3 linked regions of the Oreochromis niloticus genome follow. Each later gene encodes a partner of the first gene's protein in a complex. Links are inferred from orthologs where the notes say so. Each region holds a gene or a part of one and is shown in the gene's direction. Other genes may lie near its edges. The genes, in order: ercc2, mms19 and polr2d.

The links.
Region 2: ercc2 (region 1) and mms19 share a complex: the UniProt entries of both Homo sapiens proteins name them as parts of the MMXD complex. The link is inferred for Oreochromis niloticus from reciprocal best matches to the Homo sapiens genes ERCC2 and MMS19.
Region 3: ercc2 (region 1) and polr2d share a complex: the UniProt entries of both Homo sapiens proteins name them as parts of the TBP-based Pol II pre-initiation complex. The link is inferred for Oreochromis niloticus from reciprocal best matches to the Homo sapiens genes ERCC2 and POLR2D.

Annotation. Positions count from the first base shown.
Region 1 is NC_031979.2:34,778,824-34,786,150, reverse strand, and holds the start of ercc2 (general transcription and DNA repair factor IIH helicase subunit XPD), read left to right. Parts: upstream 1-4,223; 5' UTR 4,224-4,400; coding exon 4,401-4,405; intron 4,406-4,654; coding exon 4,655-4,754; intron 4,755-5,736; coding exon 5,737-5,814; intron 5,815-5,895; coding exon 5,896-5,958; intron 5,959-6,086; coding exon 6,087-6,200; intron 6,201-6,292; coding exon 6,293-6,409; intron 6,410-7,219; coding exon 7,220-7,327. Other genes in the region: zgc:154093 (cdc42 effector protein 3), read left to right, coding at 453-1,361. UniProt on the Homo sapiens protein: ATP-dependent 5'-3' DNA helicase. Component of the general transcription and DNA repair factor IIH (TFIIH) core complex, not absolutely essential for minimal transcription in vitro.
Region 2 is NC_031973.2:22,199,412-22,206,991, forward strand, and holds the start of mms19 (MMS19 nucleotide excision repair protein homolog), read left to right. Parts: upstream 1-4,497; 5' UTR 4,498-4,616; coding exon 4,617-4,704; intron 4,705-5,185; coding exon 5,186-5,234; intron 5,235-5,338; coding exon 5,339-5,699; intron 5,700-5,847; coding exon 5,848-5,922; intron 5,923-6,579; coding exon 6,580-6,649; intron 6,650-7,580. Other genes in the region: ubtd1b (ubiquitin domain-containing protein 1), read right to left, coding at 3,332-3,413. UniProt on the Homo sapiens protein: Key component of the cytosolic iron-sulfur protein assembly (CIA) complex, a multiprotein complex that mediates the incorporation of iron-sulfur cluster into apoproteins specifically involved in DNA metabolism and genomic integrity.
Region 3 is NC_031979.2:40,020,900-40,028,104, reverse strand, and holds the start of polr2d (DNA-directed RNA polymerase II subunit RPB4), read left to right. Parts: upstream 1-4,160; 5' UTR 4,161-4,352; coding exon 4,353-4,431; intron 4,432-4,590; coding exon 4,591-4,771; intron 4,772-4,842; coding exon 4,843-4,938; intron 4,939-7,205. UniProt on the Homo sapiens protein: Core component of RNA polymerase II (Pol II), a DNA-dependent RNA polymerase which synthesizes mRNA precursors and many functional non-coding RNAs using the four ribonucleoside triphosphates as substrates.

The DNA of each region.
Region 1 (7,327 bases):
CACATTCCTGAAGTTTCTGAGGAACTTGGAGGACTGACCGGGCAGCAGACGGCGAGGCAGCCAGAGATCCCAGTCTTGATCCCCTGCATGCTGTTTGCCTGAGCCGGGATAAAGACGAGAGTTTGAGGAGACGAGGGCTCGGCGTTTGCTTTGATATGGATTTTCTGCGTAGGAGGGGAAGACAGAGGGAGCTGATCTGAGGTCAAGGCCTTTCTCCTCTCCCTTCCTGAGTCACATGTCAGTGTGAGGCTCAACCGCCAGGTTGCTATCGCTACTCTGACCGACCCAAATACTTGTTTACTCGCTTGGAGAAGCAGAACAGACTGGATATCTGAGCTGAGAGTGGGAAAAACAGCCAAGAGAGCTTCTTATCAACTCAGTGCTGTTTGCTTTCCGCTGAATTTCTCCTGCTGGAGCTCAAACGGCCCGAGGAACCCAACATCCACATCAAGATGCCTGCAAAGACGCCAATGTACCTAAAGACAACGACTCCCAAGAAGGGAAAGAAGCTGAAGCTCCGGGACGTCCTCTCAGGTGACATGATCAGCCCCCCGCTGGGCGACGTGCGTCACAGTGCCCACGTGGGGCCTGAAGGCGAGGGCGACATGTTTGGAGACGTCGGCTTCCTCCAGGGTAAGATGGACATGCTGCCACCCACGAGCCGGACGCAGAACGGCCACGCCCGCTCGCACAGTGTGGAGAGAGACCTGGGAGACGGCCTCACCGCGAAAGAGGACGTGCACAGCTACGCTTTTAACGGCTACCATTACCAGCACTCGTCCAGCGGCCTGCTGAAGAACACCATCTCCATGCCTGTGTTCATCGCTCACGAACAGGCTCCACCCAAACCGCCACGCCTCCATCTGGATGGTCCCTCCCACCACCATCAGCACCCTCCTGCGGCGACCCCCAAACAGAACAATGGCTGCAGCCAGACAGACGGTCAGCGCCAGCAGCACCCGACCGTGTCGCTCTGTGAGAATGGCGTGGTGGGTCGCTTGGCGTCCGAGCCCTGCCGTGACATCTCCCTCTCCCCAGCTATCCGCAGACTCGTCCCCTCCTCCGGCTCCCTCTCTGAGGGCTCCTCTGAGGACTCCATGTCAGAGATCTGCGGGCCGCAGGACGTTCGCCGGGGCCTCAGCCTGGACTCCGACACCTACCTGAGCAACGAGGATCTTCGAAGCGAACGCAGCGAGTCACCCTGCACCGTCTTCCACCCCGCCGGCCTCACAAAGCCCTCCGGTGTGTCGCGCTCCGACTCCATTGCGGGGTTGAACCTGGATCTGGGCCCATCCATCCTGGAGGATGTGTTGAGCATCATGGACCGCTACAAAGCTGAGGACAACCACTGCGAGCTGTGATTGAGATTAATGAGACAAAAAGATATTTTTATACATGGTTTAATATATCCTTTAAAACTCTGAACAGACTGATGGAGACAAAAGATGGAGGGACTGACGGAGGAGGGAGGGGAACTTATATTTCCGCCTACTCCTGGGAGCCGAGTCTGAAGGTGATAAAAGACTTCAAGAAGCTTGAAATGCAGGACGTTGCTGCTCGAGCCTTCAAAGCTGAACCTCATGCACATAGATTTTAAACTATAACATGGGGTTGCCAACGGTTACGTGCACACCGTCATTCTCACGGTGTCCAAAGAAACCTGCAGACCCTCCTTTATTTAAAAAAAATACACCCATTTGCATGTATGTTTTGGGCAGGTGTTTTCTGCCCATTTTAGAACAAAACAGGTCCATAAACATCCTGTTGCTTTCAGCTGATGGGGGAAGTCTTTCCTGTGAGTGTATTAAATACCTGCAACTTCACAAGGATACATGTGAGTGTCCCCACAGCGAAACAGCTGCACATATTTACCAAAACAGTCCAACAGAGCTAACTTTATTAGTTATTTAGAACTATTAACTAACCCTGCAACAAAACTTTTCAACTTACAGTGTTTATGGATGTTTACCATAACAGCAGGCTGTATAGGAGGATGACACCTCTAATCATTAATTTAACCAATAAAATAAGCCAAGAGGTGTTTAGAATTTTACTAGCAAAACAAATTTGGCAGATTTATCCTGAAAATTACCTAAAATATGTCGCAGCACCTCTCTCTAGGTTATTTAAAGCGAGGAGTGATCCAAAAATGACAAAAAAAAGATTATCATCTTTAAAAACTGTCCCACATTCTGCGACAGCCTCCCAAATTTTTAATGGACCTAGTATAAAAAAGTGAAACAGCTGTGCTGATCCACAAGTACATCCCAGTGTGGGATAGAGAAGTGTGCCAAAACTACCGAATCGCTTGCACAAACAAGTTATGAGAGGAAATACAGGCTGTCCTTCACCTGTGACCTGCATCATTTTTTGTGTTTAATTATCCCACATAAACATCGCCACCCTCATCTCACCCCAACTGACAGCTGAAAGTTGGCAACCCTGCTCCAAGTTAACCAGCACAGTTGCAGTAACATCACCACTGCTCCCTTTAATCTGTATCGCCTGTTAATCTGACTCTCACTGAGGATTTCCTGCTCACTTCTCTGCAGAGTCAAATATACTTGTCTCCAGATCGGCCTGGGAAAACAGGAGGAATCTCCAGCTGCACAGCTATTAATTCTTTCAGGATAAATGTGTATTTCTGCAGCAGAGTTCATGTTACGTACATAGACTAAGCTACAAACTGCTAATACTACTAGTTTAATGCTGCAGGTTAAATTCTTCATTTTGGCTTCCTAAGGTGTGATTTGGGGCTGAAATGTTGACATCTTCACTCTTTTACATCAACTCCGCTGCTGCTGACTTTACTGTCATCCTCTAATATGATTGTATCCCATTTAATCAACATTTCACTGGCAGGTTTAACCTTGTTTTTTAGTTTTTTATCATCAGAGAGAAGCTGGGTATGCTTAATGTTGGTGTTGTTTAAAAGCTTTAAGGGTAAGAATAAGAAAAAGTGCTGCTTTGTTGATCAGTTTTGAGATATCTGTCTTTATACATGCTGTGGCTCACTCTCTGCCTCCCTGACATTCACTGTCTGCATGATCACAGTAGCCTATTATTCAAATGTCATCTATGGTGTATGATTAATCTGTAAATGTACGAATAAAATGTTTCCTACTGCAAAAACTTTGCGGTTTCTTCTTCGCAGACAGACGCTTTATAGACATTAACACTAGTAGGCATACTTTATGGGTGTTTTTCACATGCAGCGATGAGATGAATAAAGATTTCCAAACCTCTGAACCACAGTGACGTAATTACAGTAAAAAAAAAAAGGGAAAAAAAGTCTTTTTTAATAGTTTTCAGATTAAATTTCAAACCATTAAAAACTAGTTTTCAATTCAGTGCAGGTGCAGTAAAAGTATAAATCTGTATAAATAAATGTTAATATGTGTGAAATTAAAGAATCTGGACAGCAAAAAAAAGTTTAATTTTGTTGTCGGTCTATTTATAATTATTTATTAATATATTCTGAGAATTCAGATTACTTTGTTTTGGTTGCGGATGAAAAATTCTTCCTAATCGGAGTATTTTGAAAGGATACATCAGACGTTATAGTGTGCACAAGGGCGATTTTATTGCTATGTGCTGCCCCCGTGTGGTCACTCTTTGGAATGGCAACTCTTTAAAATGACTAAAATCTCATTAATGCAGCTGACTTAGAACTACTTCCGGAAAAGCCTGTGAAAATAAAGTTATTCGGGTAGGGTATTCCAAGTAATACAAAAAAATATAATGAAATTACCCAACACATGCATGCCTTTGCTGTACACGCTGAAGCCCAAATAATAAACGAAAGCATCGAGAAAGCACAGCTGTGAATTATAATTAAAACGTAAAAAGTAAAACGACCGAAAAGTCACATTTACCTCTACACAGTAAGATGTAACGGCTGTTTGATAATACACAGTATACCATTAAACACTGAAGCTCGTGCGATTCTAACTGATGGGTTATTTTAGCGTTTATATTACAAACTATTCACCGGAAATTAAATTGTTATATGACTCGAATGTGGTCAAAGTTAGCGCCGATAGCAGCAGGCTAACACTTCCAGTTGAAGTAATCGTCGTCAAATTTAAATATAAATACATAAATAAAATAAATATAAGGAGACATTAACTATAAACTAATTAAATAAAGGGTTTTTAAATGTAACTTCGAAGCATTACAGTGGACTATTTAGTTTTTCTTTTGGCCTGTAGGGGGCCGTAATCCGTCTGATAGCGTTTAAACGACAAACGAAGAAGAATTAAATGCTGCAGCAGGCTGTGGCGTTGCTAATGCGGCGTTTTGTTTTGTGTTTTTTGCGCACATTCAAATTTTAATGACTGTTTTAAAATAACATAAGTTACGTAAAAAGAAGAGGAGCTGCCGCTAAACGTGCTGTGAAGATGAAGTGAGTGTTTTACTGAGTACAAACAGACAACATGGGCTTTCAGTGTTAGCTCGTTTCCAGCAACTGTGACATACCTGAGCCAAGTCCACATAAAATCAGAGTTTTGTGGCTCTAGTTTATCCAAATCACTGTTTTAATTTTTATTTTAGCTGTCTCGCACTCATTCGCACATACTTGGCTTAAAGATAGTCCAGTATGAAGTCTGTACAGCTGCTGTGCACTGTTAGCATCATTGCTGTTTCCTTGCAGGCTCAACATTGAGGGTCTGCTGGTGTATTTTCCCTATGACTACATCTACCCCGAGCAGTACTCCTACATGCTGGAGCTGAAGAGGACGCTGGATGCCAAGGTGGGTGGTGTCAGAGGTTAATCTGAAGGCGTGGTTTTCATGCACAGGTTCATCTGTGCTCCTATCTACACAAAATACCCTGGGTGTAAGCTGGACTGTCGATCAGTCCAGAGGTTGGATGACACGTGTGAATGAACAGTGGAGAAGAGAGGTGGATTGGATGGAGATGAGTGTCACGAGTCCTTTGTGACAGAATGATATCAGAAAGAGTGAAAGGCAAGGTTTACAAGATGGTAGTGAGATTTGGTATAATGTTTGGTTTGAAGACGGTGGCACTGAAAAAAGACAGGAGGCTGAACTGAGGATGTTAAGATTTTCATTGTGATTGACGAGGATGGTTAGATTAGAGTTGAATACATCAGAGGGTTGAGATGGTTTGTAGACAAAGTTAGAGAGGCTGGGATGGTTTGGACGTGTGCAGAGGAGGGATAGTGGATATATTGATCAGAGGGTGTTGAAGATGGAGCTGCCAGGCAGGAGAGAAGAGGAAGGACTCAGAGAAAATGGATGTGGTGAAGGAGGACATGCGAAGGGGTTGATATATGAAGCCTGTACAGCTGCTGTCGGGGACAGAGGAGGATGCAAGCATAGCAATAGATTCATTTTGGTCTGAAGAAGGTGGAAGACGAGTCATCTTTTTTATCCAGTTGTTATTTCAGTTATTTAAGATAATCAAATTTTCTGCTCTTTGCTGTTTCCAGTTAAAGAAAAGTTCTATTTTTTTCTTGATGTGATCAGTCTAGTCATGTATGTATTTTAAAATTTGAGTTACTTTTTTCCTTCTTTCCTTCCTTGGAGTTGAAGAGATGATTCCTAAAGTTACAGTATTTAGTCCAGATTTTACCTTTTGTGTCACTGTGTCGTATTGTGTTGCTCCTTCAGGGAAGTACAGTGTGTCCATCTCAGATTTCGCTCACGTTTAAAAGTGAGTGTTTACTTTCAGCTGCTGCTTTCTGTGTTAACCGAACCTGTTCCTGTTCAGGGTCATGGAGTCTTGGAGATGCCGTCAGGAACAGGGAAGACCATCTCTCTACTGTCCCTCATTGTGGCCTACCAAAGGGTGAGTTCAGCCTCTCTCATAAGTGGTTTATACTAACAGCTGGTGGTAGATCAGCATGTAAATATGTTCTCTCTCTCTCAGGCTTTCCCTCTGGAGGTCACCAAGTTAATTTACTGCTCTAGAACAGTTCCGGAGATCGAGAAGGTGAGTGGACGTCAAATCAGTCGTCAGTGAAGCGTGTTTCTACTGTGTAACTTTCTTTTTGAATTAAACAAGAAGAAGCGTTCAAAGCCCCGACGTCTCACATGGTGTGTTTGATTCTTTCCGATAAGGTTGTGGAGGAGCTGAGGAAGCTGATGGAGTTTTACACTAAAGAAACAGGAGAGAGCAACAACTTCCTGGCTCTCGCTCTTTCCTCCAGGAAGAACCTCTGCATCCACCCTGAGGTATGAACACCCGCATCCCACGAAGCTAAAGGAGCGATTTAGGATTCAGCTTTCTCCTTTCAAAAGTGACCGACACGCTTGTCTTCTCACAGGTGAGCTCTCTGCGCTTCGGTAAGGAAGTCGATGGGAAGTGCCACAGTCTGACAGCATCATACATCCGCGCACAACATCACAGCAACCCCAACCTGCCCGTCTGTCGCTTCTACGAGGCAAGAACTCACATCAGATGGTGTTTTTCAACAGAAGCAGAAGATATTTTTTTGTAATGGCTGTTGACACGACAGCATCAGGGTTCAACATAACCGGTGGGGTCAGGCGCTTTTGGGGCGGTGATGCTACTGAGTTAGGATGCTAACTGGCTAAATCAGCTCTCATGATTTAAATGAAGTGTAAGAGGTTGCTGAGGTAAAGAGGCAGGAAGATGGTGGTGGTGGTGACACTGTGAGTGTTTCTCTTGGATTTGCATCCAAAAATAGATGCATGAATTTTATAAGATTTAAACCCCCTAAAATGTTTTTTACCACTATAACTAAAATGCATATATGAAGGTATAACTTAGTAACTATTCCTGCATTGCGTTGCATGTGGTTGACTCCTGCTGTCTTTAAGCACGATCCTTTTTGTGCTACATGCAAACTTAGATACATTTGAATGCTTAATAAAGCTTAAAGACGAGTAAGTTCTGTGATCTTTATGGATTAAAAGTTTAAAAACAAGTTCAGGTTTCTATTCTTTAGTAATCTGTTCATTTCTGTGCTGGATGATTACAACTTACTGGCTCGACGTGATTAGTTAGGAGCATTTAATCAGCCTGAAAACTTAAATCCAGCAACTACTCGACACCATCAGATATGCAGATTAAAAAAGTGTTTGGTTTCTGGCTGTCGCCTACATGAACTCAGGAAGTGTTATAGGTCTCAGTTTGAGACTTTTTAGCTCATTGATCTTAACACAGATACAAACTGTAGGTTTACAATGCCTGAAAACTGGAAAACAGGAAAACCTGTTTTGTGTTGCAGGAGTTCGATTCAGTCGGCCGACAGGTGCCTCTTCCTGCTGGCATCTACAACCTTGATGACCTCAAGGCCTTTGGCAGGAGGAAGGGCTGGTGTCCTTACTATCTGGCT
Region 2 (7,580 bases), on another chromosome or scaffold:
AACACAATTTAAAAACTGGTATAAAGTCCACACTTTTTCCGTCAATTGTTCCGTCTGTCCTGCTCACATCTCCAATGGTTGTACACGTTGTCATTAATGTGGCTTCACTGCACATCAGCCACGCCGCTTTGCTAGCTAAAACACCGGTGTCGGCACATAAGGACGCTGTCATAGCCTGTCAACGACGTTGATTGGCTGCGTATATACGAATGTGAATCGCATTATTGGCTGGACTGTAGGATAAGGTGGCATCGTTCTAATCCCATACAGGAGCAGCCAGTCACTCACTGACTAACACTGCAAAACAGAATTGTTAAAGTTTTAATTTTAATTTCAATTCAGGTTAGATTTTTTTTGTGCGCAACGCAGATTTTCTGTGCGCAGAGACCGTGCCAGCAGTGCGCAATTGCGCACATGCGCAGCTTAGAGGGAACATTGGTTTCCACACCACTGAAGTCGTTTTACCTCTCTTTTCAACCAGCGGCATTCTTTCTTCAGCAGCCATTATCCTCTCCTCTCCAAATAACTTATGCTTAGCTTTCCGAGCTTCCCTCGGGTCCTCTTAATTGTTGTGACGCGTGTTCGAAACGCAGAGAGGTGCGCTCGATTTGCCACACGGAGCAGCGCGAGAGTAAAGCACGAGGGAGGTGCTAATAATCGGCTCAGTCATTTTTAATGATCGTTCAAAACCCAGATCGTAATCGAGATTAAAATTCGATTAATTGAGCAGCCCTAGGTTCAACCATAGCGATGATGTGCTGATGTAGCAGAAACCCTGCTCGGTACGAGACGAGCCAATAAAGTGAAACTATGACTTGAACGCCTCCATGTCAGAATCGAGCCTTGACATGACAATACAACAGCCCAGCTGATTTCTGGTTAGTCTGAGACAGCTGGATACAAACAGTGCTGAGAGTCACTCATGGGGAAGCTGGTTTGAGGTTTGATCTATATTTGCTTTTGACTGAAATTGCAAACCACTGTTACAGAGATGCTTAAAAAAACAAAAACAAAAACAAACAAAAAAGCACAACACCACTAAATTACAGACATTGTCAACTAAATTAATGTGTTTCTCCTTAATCAAGCTATTTTCTGAAGCAATTACATTCAAAATAGATACACCACCTTGGAACGGGCAGGTTTCACTTTCCTTCACAGTTCAGCTTAGTTTCCAGTGAATTATTTTGTTGATTCTTGAGATCCTAATCTTTGAGAGCTTTGACGTTATCGTGGCTAATCAGTCTACTGTTATTATTAAGGGATTTACAAAACTAGCAAGCAAACCTTGTGAATATATATATTCAGCAGGTTTTATATACTCTTAAAGCCTGATTGATATTTGACTTTATAAAAATCAATATTTAAGATAAACTGGAAATTGTGCATTTCTAATCACCTTTCAGTTACATCTGTGCTGCTTCTAAATGTGTTACTAACTTGTATATTCTGTAACTTCCAACACTTCCACAATAAAATCCCTTTATTGGGACAAATGATAATTTCAACGGGTGTCTGCATATCTTTATTTAAAGTCCAAACTTGTTCTTCCATTATTTTGTTTCAGCATGACAATACAAACAAGCTTCCTTTTTGTTCCTTTGAGCATGTGGTAGGCAGACCTAACACGAACATAGTAACACAAATTACTGAGCTCTCATCCAAACGAAATTAGAACAAATGGAAAAATTGAGATCCCATATAAGCTATCCAATTCCTTCTCTTATCAAGTGGTGTTTCTTTATGAGCGTGTATGTAACAGACAAAAGTCAGTGTCAGTCAATGATGCAGCGGGGCATGATGTGACTTGTTCTTGATCGAAGCCTCGTCTAGCAAAGGGAGCATGTTGAGTCTAATCAAGTTGGGAAATCAACATGAGCCACTGCCAGAAAGCCTGGGTATGCTGGCTGTGACAGCTTTAACTTTAAATAGCTACTCTGGCACACGACAAAGAAACTTACTTAGAAGGTCATATTGGCATCAAAAATCTATGTTAGTGTCTAATTTTAGGATGCAACTCTATAAGCAGGGGTCAGAAAGTCTATTCAAACAACGCCCTTTTTTATATGGCGAAAGCTGGAATCAATCTTAAAAACCTCCCATCTTTCTGATGCAAACTGGAGACAATTCCCACTAGAAAAAGGCGTACTGAAAAACTTTCCAGCAGTAACAAATCAAAGGGACAGAACCTGCATCCAAATGAATAACAGACATTTAGTTTCCTGAGCAGCCACTCTAAGGCAAACACTGAGCTCAAGTGGGCCTGCACTGTAGTCACACAAGTGAGCATGCTTTTAAAGCAATATGACAGAAATCTGAAAAAGCTGAAAAGTCTTTTCCCATCCCAATGTGTTTATGTGACCCCCATTCATGAACCTACCAGGCTGTAAAGCGCTAATCTCCCAATAATGACTGAGGGTATCATAACAAGGTCACACAAAATATAATCAGCATTGTTTTCTGTAAATCGAAACTAAGGAGAAGTTCCCAGTGTCTAATAATTCAGCTGCACGGAGCCTGTGTGTTGATGGTTAACTTCAGGTTGGTTAAAAAAAGTAGCAGTTTATTATTATGTTAACTTTCAGGAAAGTCCGTAACCAACAGACATGAACTGATGTGAAAAGAGAGCAACTTTTGGAATTAATGTAATGTAGCTGGCTGTTACAGTAACCACAACACAGAGCTTACACCCTAGATTTTAATATACGAAAATTACCCAACGAGTTTACTGCCATCAGCTTTGTTACAGATGTTATCTGAATATACTGCTTCACCAGTCTGAACTGATAAGATGAGAAAAAAACCTTGTCAAAGCTAAAGAATAAACTCCTTTTTTTTTTTTTTACCGATGCAGAAGAGGCACACATCAAAGAGAGCTACAACAGAATCCACTTTCCTCACACAAAATGCAAACTGCCACCTCCCAACCTGCTTCCACTTTCTGTAACTAGACAATCTGGTAACTTTAACCAACCCACCCAGATCTAAACCCCTTCTAAACAATTCATACATGTTTAAGATGTGTGTGTGAGTAATCGTGAATGGAGATTTCGTGCACCTGCCCAGATACCTCTGTTTAACAGCAGCCACAAGACAAAAAAGGGCCAAGTGGTGACCAGAAATGCACTCTGAGTAAAGTCTAAACCTGCTATTGCTATTGGCAACACAAAACTATCAACGCAGGAATATTTCTCTCTTCTTTTTTTTTTTTGGCATCACTAATCATGAACGGTCAGAGACACTATTGCTGTATGATTTTAAGTTTCCAGCTCTGATGTTTCAAAGAAACCTCCCCGCATATTTATACAACATCCACACAATGTTGCCTTACCTCCTCGTCCACCGTTCCTGGAGGAGCCCCGGCTCTGCGAGTCCTCCCAGCCTTCCAAGTATCTGCCCATACATCCCCCCATGGTTAACGGGCTCCAGATCGCTTCCACGGGTCTCAATGGCTAAACAGGGGCCCCATTGCGGACGAGGATGTTGTACTAGGTCCGATGAGGAGGATGATTCGTGCGCACAGCGACGCAAGACTGAGGGCGGCAGTTAATATTTAAATCACGTTTTGCAGCTCTATACGTTTCAGATTAGGGCTTAAAGTGCCCTCTTTGTAAATAATTTCTGCCTGCGTGTGACACGCGCACGCAGAGTTCACGGCTCGTGGCCCGCACCAATGTTTCAAGAGTTTGAGCAATCCGCAGCATCTGCCACCAGCTCGTTGTTAGCTTCAGGATATATACAGTATGTTTCTACTGTTTAACGTAGCTCGTTAAGCTGGGCTGACTTGTAAGTGTTGCTGTTAACCCGTCCAGGCACAGCGCACCTTTCTCGCTAACAGGCTAACAGGGCCAACACGCTAGCTACCGCGGCGTAAGTAAACACAAACTTCCGCGCGCACGAGATCATTTCCCCGCATGTTCCGTCTATGACAAACGTAGCGGGTCATTACAGCCTCCCTCTGTCCGCCGTACGAAGGAGTACTTCAGTTCTTTGACGAGCTCGGTACAGTCTTTTCTTTAAATAGCCCCCCCCCCCAAAAAAAAATTCTCTCCACTTCGCTGGTGAAAGGTGACCAGCGGCGGTCTGCTAGCGCCGCCGAACTTTTTTCTTTACGCTTGCGCAAAAGCATCCAGCCAGGTGTTGGTTTCTATTGCGTCAGGACTTGACACAATTATGAATGCAGGAGTACGCAAATTAATTTGTACACCGGAGTTATCATACAACAGCTACACGTTCTCCTAATGTCTATACTTGAAATTATACTAGTAGTAATTAATTGGAACCTCTTAAAAGCAAAACTTCAGTGGAAGGAAGAGGATGTACATCAGGAACATCAAGAGAATTCCACTTTTGCGAGTTCTAGTATTTGTAGAGTATTGTTCGGACGGTACGTGAATGCAGCATTAAAGGACATAATATTGAAGCTTTTCTTCCACCATTCGGTAAATCTTTTCATTCTATAAAGATGAAAAGACACTGTTTTGTGTGGAAATAATATTATACTGTTTTTAAAGGTTATATTTTTATGAGATTATAATCTAAAACCAGTCGCTTTTCGCGATTCACCTAAAGTTTTCGCGCATGCGTAGTGCCAGCGAAGTAGTTACAGGGACACGATGGCTGCGGAGAGTACCTTGGCGCTGTCTCTGGTGGAGGAATTTGTGTCTGGACTGCAGGACAGCAAGGCTAAAGATGCGGCAAAAGGTAAAAGGCTTTCGTCGCGGTTTGCCGGTGACATTTACGATGCATTTTTCACAAAAGTAACGCGGGAGAGGCTGTAGAGCTGCTCTTCGAGGATGCGCAGCGAGACGTGATGGTTAACTAGCTAACTTAGCGCTACAACATCCTGTGTAGTGTTGTAACCGCAAGATAAAGAGCAAGCATTCGCCGTGAAAATATATTTGCTCATTTTGTTGGCGTAAATGCACATTCTGGATGTATGCATCAAGTTTGAACACATTGTCTCTTCACAAGGACTCTTAATTTGATGCTAGTCCGCAGCGGTTAAAGCACATGCTGCTTGCTAGCTGCTGTGTTTGTGTAGAAGTACCCTGTCAATGAACCCTGTGGCCTTACCTTTGAGTTATAACCTGGTACAGCTACTAGAGTTAGAGCATGCGTGTATTTGCATTGCGATAGCGCATCACTCCACTTCACTAAACTTATTTGGGGGTTTTTTGATCAGGTGTCAAAGATGGGAAGTTTACAGTTCTGCAGCTGGTGGAAGCACTGGGGTAAGCAATCTTCATCGTCATGTCAGGGGAAAATATCAGCCAGAGTTTGCAATTACATTCCTATCTAATACCAACTTCTATCTTCATTCCCTTTCCTATTAAAGGTCCAGTCTGACCAGTTCTCAGCCTCACACTCGAGCCCGAGGAGTCCATCTGCTCTCTGAGGTTTTGCAGGAGTGCTATGGAGATCTTACAGAGAGAGAAGGTACACCTTTCTCCTTCCATATACTGTGCTGGCATTGTACGGCTTCGTGCAAAGTGACAAATCAAAAATGCTTTCAAATAACTGCATTTTTATATCCATATATGTCTTCCGATGACGCTTATTCATGTCAAGGGGCGATCAGCACTCAGCATTTCTTCCTGTTCTTCTCCACAGTGGAAGTGCTCATTGCCTTCTATGAAAACCGTCTGAAGGATCATTATGTCGTCACACCTCCCGTCTTAAAGGGGCTCAAGGCGCTGGTTAGTCGTTCTTTGAAAACATTTTGTTTCTGCTCAAATCTGTAACTTTATTTCAGGCTGGGGGACTTTTTTGAGAAGTTCCAAATGTGAGGCAGGTTATGCATTTCCTCTTTCTTTTTTTTTAATGTGCATTTTTCCCCCCATTCAGACAAAATGTACAAACCTGCCTCCTGGCTCAGCTGTGTCCATGCTGAGGTCAGTGTTCCAGGACATCCATGTACAGGTGAGACTGTCATATTGTACATTTAAAGTGTTATTGTGAGGAATAACAACAGTGCTGGATTGATTTTTACCTACATAATTTCATAGTTTCAATACTTAGTTGTGAGCTTTGATGTGTTTGTGTTCTTTAAAGTTGGAATTGAAGAGAATATGGATTTTACAAAGACTGCATTATGTATTTTACTTAACCGAAATTGTTGTCAAGATCAAGTTGTTGCTTATAAATAAATCACCTTACATTTATAACTAATCTAGATCACTGTACTTGGAGGGTTATGACAAAATGCTAATGTTAGAAATTAGATTTAAGCAATTTGCAGTGCATGAGTTTTCACCATTAATCAAATAATTTATTATGATTAACCAAACAATTCACATTTTACATTCCACTTTTTTTTTTTGTAATATGATATCAACAGTTCGACTGTCTGAGTTGTTTATTCTGACTTTAGTGGACGTTTTATGACTTTTCCTAGTTTCGCAGTTGTTTGATTTTTCCGACATTAATGCTTTTAAAACCTAATGTAACACACTGTCGGAAACATCTAGCCACACTTGTTAGATGTTCTTGTTTCCTCTCTGTTATTGTTTTTGCTGGTAAAACTGACTCATCTAAAACTGTTCCTACTAATAACAAATGTATTTATTTCCCCTGCAGTCTCTGATGCTATCAGAGAGAGCATGTGTCTACAGCATGCTTATCAACATCATGGAGACCAGAGAGGCGGGTAAGAGATTATGTTTTGATTCACAAAACCTCAGTTAATAGAGACAGAAAGCTCTGTGGAAGGAAGCAGGTCATGTTGAAGTAACCAGTGATTTAAGAGTTAAGCATGAGCTTTAAAAGTCGGGCAATCTCACAGCAGTAATGGAAGGCGTTGACACACTGTCCTCTGTTTGGCTAATATTTTAGGATAACAGCCATACTGTAAAAGATGCAAATGGAGGGCTGACAGTGAAATACTTGTGCTCAGCTACCAGTTGTTAAACTGGAAATGTTTACAGGAGGGATGGTACTGTGACCTGGGCTTTGTTCCAGAAAGCAGATTTAACAAACTCTAAATGTAAGCTCTGAGTTTTTGGTTCCAGACTATGTTCACCATGGCAACGGTCAAGACCCTCCTGTTTAATTCTGTGGGTCATGTTGGATCGTGTTGTTTTCGTTAAAAAAACAGAAGAGGGGAAAAGTGTGATTTTAACAGCAGAGATGTTTACTCATTTACACAGAATCATTTCATTATTATATATTTTTTTGAAAAAACAGTTGGGATCTAACCAGATTTTAAATGAGTAGTGAATCTTCATTATTCAGCTGACCTGACAGGGACAACATGCAGGTTACAGCAACTGTAGATAACACAGTTTAATTACAAACTGGTGATATTAATCAGACCCAGTAAGGCTGCTTTTAGGTGATTTGTCGATGTGCAGCACCTTGGAATACATTTATTAACTTTATTTTAAACTATATTTAGAATACTGTCAGAGTCTAAAAAATCATTACACTCTTCTTCATCTCCAATATGATAAAAATCAACATGACTAATAACAGCATTCAGAGTCATCAAAGAGTGATTTATAAAAGTCTGGGATTATACGATTTGTAAAGATGGACTCACCTGTGAATGAGTGCATTCTGATATGAGCTTTGATATCTGC
Region 3 (7,205 bases), about 5.2 Mb from region 1:
ACACATGACAATAAGCACTTTGAATCTTTGAATCTTGAATCTTGAATGACCGCTGTGGGCAAACCTCCACCCGCCCCATTGCTGCTAAACAGGTGACAATAGATTTAAGTGCTGCTGAATCTTTGATTTTATTTATTTTCTGCTGTGTTTTACTTGCATCTATTTGAAAGAGTGAGTGTAAACACAAAACATGATTTTAGTTTATATGCTGGAATATGCAGACAATATGTTTAAATGTTAAACATATTTCTTCAAGTCAAAGACTGTTGCATATAATTTAATTTTTGCTTGATGCAAAAAGTTAAAAGATTAAAACTAATGAAACAAGTTTTAAAAAGAGACTTTTTCATTTGATTCAGTTTTATATGATGGTTTATGGAGAAAAAATAGAATTGGGCTGAAAGGTCTGTTGCTTTATTACACATAAGTAATGGGATTACTTTCTTAGAGAAGTGATCAGTAATTAGTAACTAATTAGTATTTTCAAGTAACTTGACCAACACTGCTCATCACATGACCCAAGGTGTGAAAAGGGTGTGTGTCATCATCAGCAGGTGAAACCACTCAAAGACCCTGACCCCCATCATGTGACCTACTGAAATCAACTGACCCAAGGTGTGAGTGGGCGTTAAAACGACCGGATTATAGATGGCAGACAGTTGGTGTGGTAAGCCCCACCCTCTGTTCAAAGATGGTCGCTCACAGTGGACATAGATGCTTCGTTCACTCCTCTTTCAAACTGTTTTCTCTGTCCACAATGTGAACACTGGCATTCTCAGAGAGTGACCTTTGAACTTTGGATGCAGATGAACAGCTGCATCTAAATTGATTTCATGAGTCTTTTACTTACTCTCAAAGTGTTAAATGCTTTAAGGAAACTCCTCAACATATAAAACCCCAAAAGAGCACCGAGATGGTCCAGCCAGATGCTCTTAGTACAGCCGAGGTCTCGACTGAAGCATAGAGGAGATCGGGCCTTCACAATGCATTTCTTACTTGGAAATTCCGAATGGGAATAGTAGAAAGTAGAATGGGAAACTTCATTATCTTCAATGTGCTATTGCTGTGTGATTTTTATTACTATTAATGAAGGATACTCAACACAGCTAACATTGTTAGCTGGTGTTAGCTGAGGTTAGTTCATAGACTGCAGACTGTTAGACTGTTTCTAAATACTTTCACTAGTCCAGACCTAAGTTCACACGGGAGTTCGGACTTCCCGAGAATGTAGCGCAATCGTTCTACAATTGTAACGGCAGTGTACGTGATGACATCACAGCTCCATCCCCTCTTAATTTAACTGTGATTAATATTTGCAATGGAAATTACACATGACATTAAAAAATTACACATGATGTCGTAGATTTCGTTAAGAAAAAAAGATAATTTAAAAAAGAATCTTAAGCACTTTGGCAAAATTCACTTTTATGTATCATCTGTTTCATGTCTAATAAGCGTCATACAGCTAAGCATAATCACTACATGACAGAAACGCAAGCTTCATCTCTTTTAATAAACACGGTACACATGTATGCCTGAACAAAACCAGTGAGATGTTGGAACACTTTTATTATTATTTTAGTAAACAGTCAAAACTTACAGCAGACAGCTGCTGGGGTTTGGAGGAGAATTGAACAAATATTTCAAATATAATCTGATCCTTTTTGGAGCAGCTTTCAGGATCTCCACGTATTAACATGCTGTTTTTAGACTTGATGGATAGCATTAACAACCTGCTAGTTGCAAATAATCATGTGCAGTTCCACATGATTATTAACAGACAGAAAGAAAACATATTACTGATACAGAAATAGTTTTCTGTACGAGATCGCTGCAAAAAGTGCAGCCTTACCTAATGTCCACCCTACTTTTACTCATTTTATATTAAGATTTAAAAATCTAGTTGGTATTGGTATGGCGAGTAACCTTCAGTAATAGTAATAAGTCACACAGCAATAGGACATTCATGTAGTTGTAAAAATTATGACAATAGATTAAGTAATCCAAAGTATTCAGTTACAAATATGTTACAAAATACATTTTGGGGCATGTATTCTGCAATCTGTAGTGAAATACATTTAAATGTACCCTTCCCAACACTGGGAATCACTTGCCACTTGATATTCGTACTTCAGAGTCTATACCAGGGGTCGGCAACCCGCGGCTCCGGAGCCGCATGCGGCTCTTTAGTCCTTATACTGCGGCTCCGCGTGGTTTGGGAAAATAAATTAGAAGTATTTAGCTGAAGTGTATTTTATTTATGTTAGTTCTTTTTAACTCGTAGTTCTAAATTGGAAGATTGTTGTGATTTTGAAATATAAAAATAAAATTATATTCTATTATTTTTTTCATCGCTCAAAATAAGAGTCACACTCGCGGAAGCCGGTATACCCGCCGAAACGCCGTGCATTTATCGAGACTTTCAACCCTACGGATCTTCGGATACACATTATGTCAGCAGCTGTTCTCCACCGTGAACTATGATAAAGACAAACACCGTGAGTAAACTGACTTCGTATATCCCCGATTTGCGGACTCTGTGCACAGAGGTTCAGGAGCAAAGTCCCATTGTAAACATATCACGGCAGACCCGACGATGTTTCCATGAACACGCTTTTGAGCATCTCTTTATTGAGCACTTTTCACACACGGTTGCTGTACGCATACAGCCGGCTGTAGCCTTTCAGCTCACAGCCCAACATACACCACCAACAACACAACAGCACAGATAGCGCAGACGTAAAGGCGGCGAGGCGTGATTGCGGGTGTCGCTCAGGTGCGTCCGCCTCCCCTGCAGCGGCGCTGCAAACCACGCCCCGCCGCACGCGTTAACCAGGTAAAATACATATTTAGGCAGAATTTTGCAAATATCTATTTTTCATTTTTCAGCAGCATAGTGCTTTTTTCCAATTATTTTTTAAGAGTCAGGTCAAGGCTCCAACAGCCCAAAGGAGATATAAGGGTGGCGGCTGACAACAGTTTTTGTTTGCTACATGGATCATTTTAGTTCAGCTGGGTGTCTTTCCTTTTGTTATATTTCTTTAAGAGTTCAAAATGTGTTAATTACGTAAATAAAATGTAATTTTCTCTGTAGCACTTCATGGATTTCATAAGCAACACACCTTAGTTGTTCACACAAAGCACAAAGGTAAAAAACAATATATACAGTGTTATCTTCATTTTAGATGTCAAAAAGTATTTGCGGCTCCCAGTGTTTTCTTTTGCGTGGAAACCGGGTCCAAGTGGCTCTTTGGGTGTAAAAGGTTGCAGACCCCTGGTCTATACAGTGTTTCAAATCTCGTCTTGAAACTCACTTTTTTACGCTGGCTTGATGAAACTCAAAGTTCAGTTTGAGCACCATCAGGTTTGTTTTGTGTTTGTTTTGTTTTTATGTTAAATATGTTGCCTTTGCCTCATATCATGTGTTATTTTTCCATTTTCTCTTGTTCATGAACTACTTGTGAAGCACTTTGGGCAACTTTGTTGCTTTTAAATGTGCTATAGAAATAAAATTGATAACTGATGTTATGAAGTGGCTGTTTGGTTTTTCCAGGTCTGAGCTGTCGTCGCTGTACTGCACAGCTACACTAGGTTGTTGACTTTGTGGCCGGTGTGCTTGGAGAAGCCTCTGCTGAGTTTCTCTGATACCCAGGACCTCCCTGCCGTGAGGTCACAGCCGTCACGTTACGCCATATTGAGTGTCGCTGATGCTGCGTGTGTTTTATTGTGGTACAGCACCATTGCTTTCAGGCGTTGGTGGTATAGTGGTTAGCATAGCTGCCTTCCAAGCAGTTGACCCGGGTTCGATTCCCGGCCAACGCAGTCTCCCTTTTACGACCGCTGAGACAGATTTCGGTTGTTCTGTTTCTTCTTGTCGGGTTTCAGCGGCTCCCGGCGCTCATGAAAGAAAAGAATCTTCCTTAAACTGCTTAAAACGATTCTCTGACACTCAGTGAGACGCTGCCGCTCCCGTCCGCAGGAGGGCGCTGCAAGCAGAGACTGTTACTTTGAAAGGATTCCTGCCAGACAGGAAAATGAACTGTCGATCTGATTCTCTAGTTTTATGTAATTTATTTTTTTATATTGTCGTATCTTTGGCACAAACTGCACCCTCCTTCTGTTTTTCATAATGTTCTTTAATGTCGCCACAAAGAGCGGAAGTGACCGCGGGCGCCCCGGAAGTAGCTCTCGCTGTTTTCTTGCGGTGCGGATCGGCGGAGCTGCTTTCTACCCCCCGACCTCCTCCCCGACCTGCGCTTTGTTACCGGGCTGCCGGGCTTGACCGGGCGCCTGTGTCTCACCCTCCGGGCGGCTTCACACTCCCCGGCCTGTAGCCGGGACTGCTCCTCGACATGGCGGCTGGAGGCGGCGCGGCTCCTCCGCATGTTGGTGATGTTGAAGAGGACGCTTCTCAGCTGCTCTTTCCTAAAGGTGAGTACCTGCAGCGCGCGCACGCACTCTCGAACAACTACCGACACGCGCAGGCGGTCCGTGGGTGCACGTGGGTACACAGACCGAGCTGCTGTCTGTGGGTTCTCTGAGCCTGTGTGCTGAGTGATTGACAGATGTTAACCCCCTCCTCCTCCTCAGAGTTCGAGAACGCGGAGACGCTACTGAACTCCGAGGTCCACATGTTGCTGGAGCACAGGAAGCAGCAGAACGAGAGCGCCGAGGACGAGCAGGAGCTGTCCGAGGTCTTCATGAAGACCCTCAACTACACGGCCCGCTTCAGCCGCTTCAAGAACCGCGAGACCATCACGGCCGTGCGCAGGTACGCCCCCCCGGCCCCTGCCCAGGTCCGAGGCAATCCAGTTCTGACCCCTGTCATCTCTCTGTCTTCAGCCTCCTGCTGCAGAAGAAGCTCCACAAGTTCGAGCTCGCCAGTTTGGCCAACCTGTGTCCAGAAGCCGCCGAGGAGGCCAAAGCCCTGATCCCCAGGTAAGTCCGATCCACGTCACAGCAGGAACAATAAAAGCCTTTGTTACAGCTGCAGTGTTGAGGTACAGGAGCTGCTCCACAGTTCATAACTAGCTGAGTTAAACACACAGGCAGGTTCAATTCAATTCAGTTTTATTTATACAGCTCCAAATCACAACAACAGTCGCCTAAATCCGCTTTATACTACAAGGTAGACCCTACAATAATACATACAGAGAAAACCCAACAATCATATGACCCCCTATGAGCAAGCACTTTGGCGACAGTGGGAAGGAAAAACTCCCTTTTAACAGGAAGAAACCTCCGGCAGAACCAGGCTCAGGGAGGGGCGGGGCCATCTGCTGTGATTGGTTGGGGTGAGAGAAGGAAGACAGGATAAAGACATGCTGTGGAAGAGAGACAGAGATTAATAACAGATATGATTCGATGCAGAGAGGTCTGTTAACACATAGTGAGTGAGAAAGGTGACTGGAAAGGAAAAACTCAATGCATCATGGGAATCCCCGGCAGCCTACGTCTATTGCAGCATAACTAAGGGAGGATTCAGGGTCACCTGGTCCAGCCCTAACTATATGCTTTAGCAAAAAGGAAAGTTTGAAGCCTAATCTTGAAAGTAGAGATAGTGTCTGTCTCCCGAATCCAAACTGGAAGCTGGTTCCACAGAAGAGGGGCCTGAAAACTGAAGGCTCTGCCTCCCATTCTACTTTTAAATACTCTAGGAACAACAAGTAGGCCTGCAGAGCGAGAGCGAAGTGCTCTAATAGGGTGATATGGTACTACAAGGTCATTAAGATAAGATGGGGCCTGATTATTTAAGACCTTGTATGTGAGGAGCAGGATTTTGAATTCTGGATTTAACAGGAAGCCAATGAAGGGAAGCCAAAACAGGAGAAATCTGCTCTCTCTTTCTAGTCCCTGTCAGTATTGGCCTATAATTAGCTAAGACTGCTGGGTCTAGAGATGCTTTTTAAGTAAAGGTTTAACTACAGCCACCTTGAAGGCCTGTGGTACATAGCCGATTATTAGAGATAGGTTGATCATATTTAAGATTGAAGCATTAATTAATGGCAGGACTTCTTTGAGCAGTTTTGTAGGAATGGGGTCTAAAAGACACGTTGATGGTTTGGAGGAAGTAATTATTGAAGTTAACTCAGAAAGATCAATTGGAGAAAAAGAGTCTAAATGAATATCAGTGGTACTGAAAGTAGCTGTAGATAATATTACATCTGTGGGATGATTATTGGTAATTTTTTCTCTAATGATAAAAATTTTATTTGTGAAGAAGTTCATGAAGTCATTACTAGTTAATGTTAAAGGGATTGTTGGCTCAGTAGAGCTCTGACTGTTTGTCAGCCTGGCTACAGTGCTGAAGAGAAACCTGGGGTTGTTCTTATTTTCTTCAATCAGTGATGAATAGTAAGATGTTCTGGCTTTGCGGAGGGCTTTCTTATAAAGCAGCAAACTATTTCTCCAGGCTAAATGATGATCCTCTAAATTTGTGACACGCCATTTCAATGCCAATGTTCACATTTTGGACAGAGAGAACAGATGGTTTGAAAGAGGAGTGAAAGAAGCCATTTATGTCCACTGTGAGCGACCATCTTTGAACAGAGGCGGGGCTTACGACACCAATTGTCTTCCAGGGGCCAGAGCAGGCGACATTGAAGGAAATTTAAAACTGCTGGCTAAAGGTAAACGTAAATAAAGTAAGATCATAATTCACGTCGGCAGTAATGACACCCGTTTAGGCCAATCGGAGGTCACTAAAATCAATATTGAATCGGTGTGTAACTTTGACAAAACAATGTCGGACTCTTGATGCATTCTCAATCATCCAGGAAAGTAAATCTCCAAAAGTTGAATCTGTTCATCTGGACGTAGCGTTTTGTGGGAGAAACGTTTCGTCACTCATCCAAGTGACTTCTTCAGTCTCAGCTGACTGCAGGTTTCCCCAAACCTTATAAACAGTACATTTGCATAATGACTGAAACCAGCCCACTGAAGGAACAATGGGCTGTGAGGTCAGTTCCTTAATCATAATTATGCAAATTCCCATGACCATTGATCAACAATCACTGACCAAAACCCACTGATCAAAGAACAGAAGAGCTTCCTCGTCAGGCCAGGACTCTGCAGTCTATTTACACCTACAGGCCAGTGGACACTCTTTCAATGATGAGGATGTACACATCCTGGACAGGGAAGAACGCTGGTTTGAGCGCGGAGTCAAGGAGGCCATTTACGTGAAAAGGGAAAGACAGACCGTG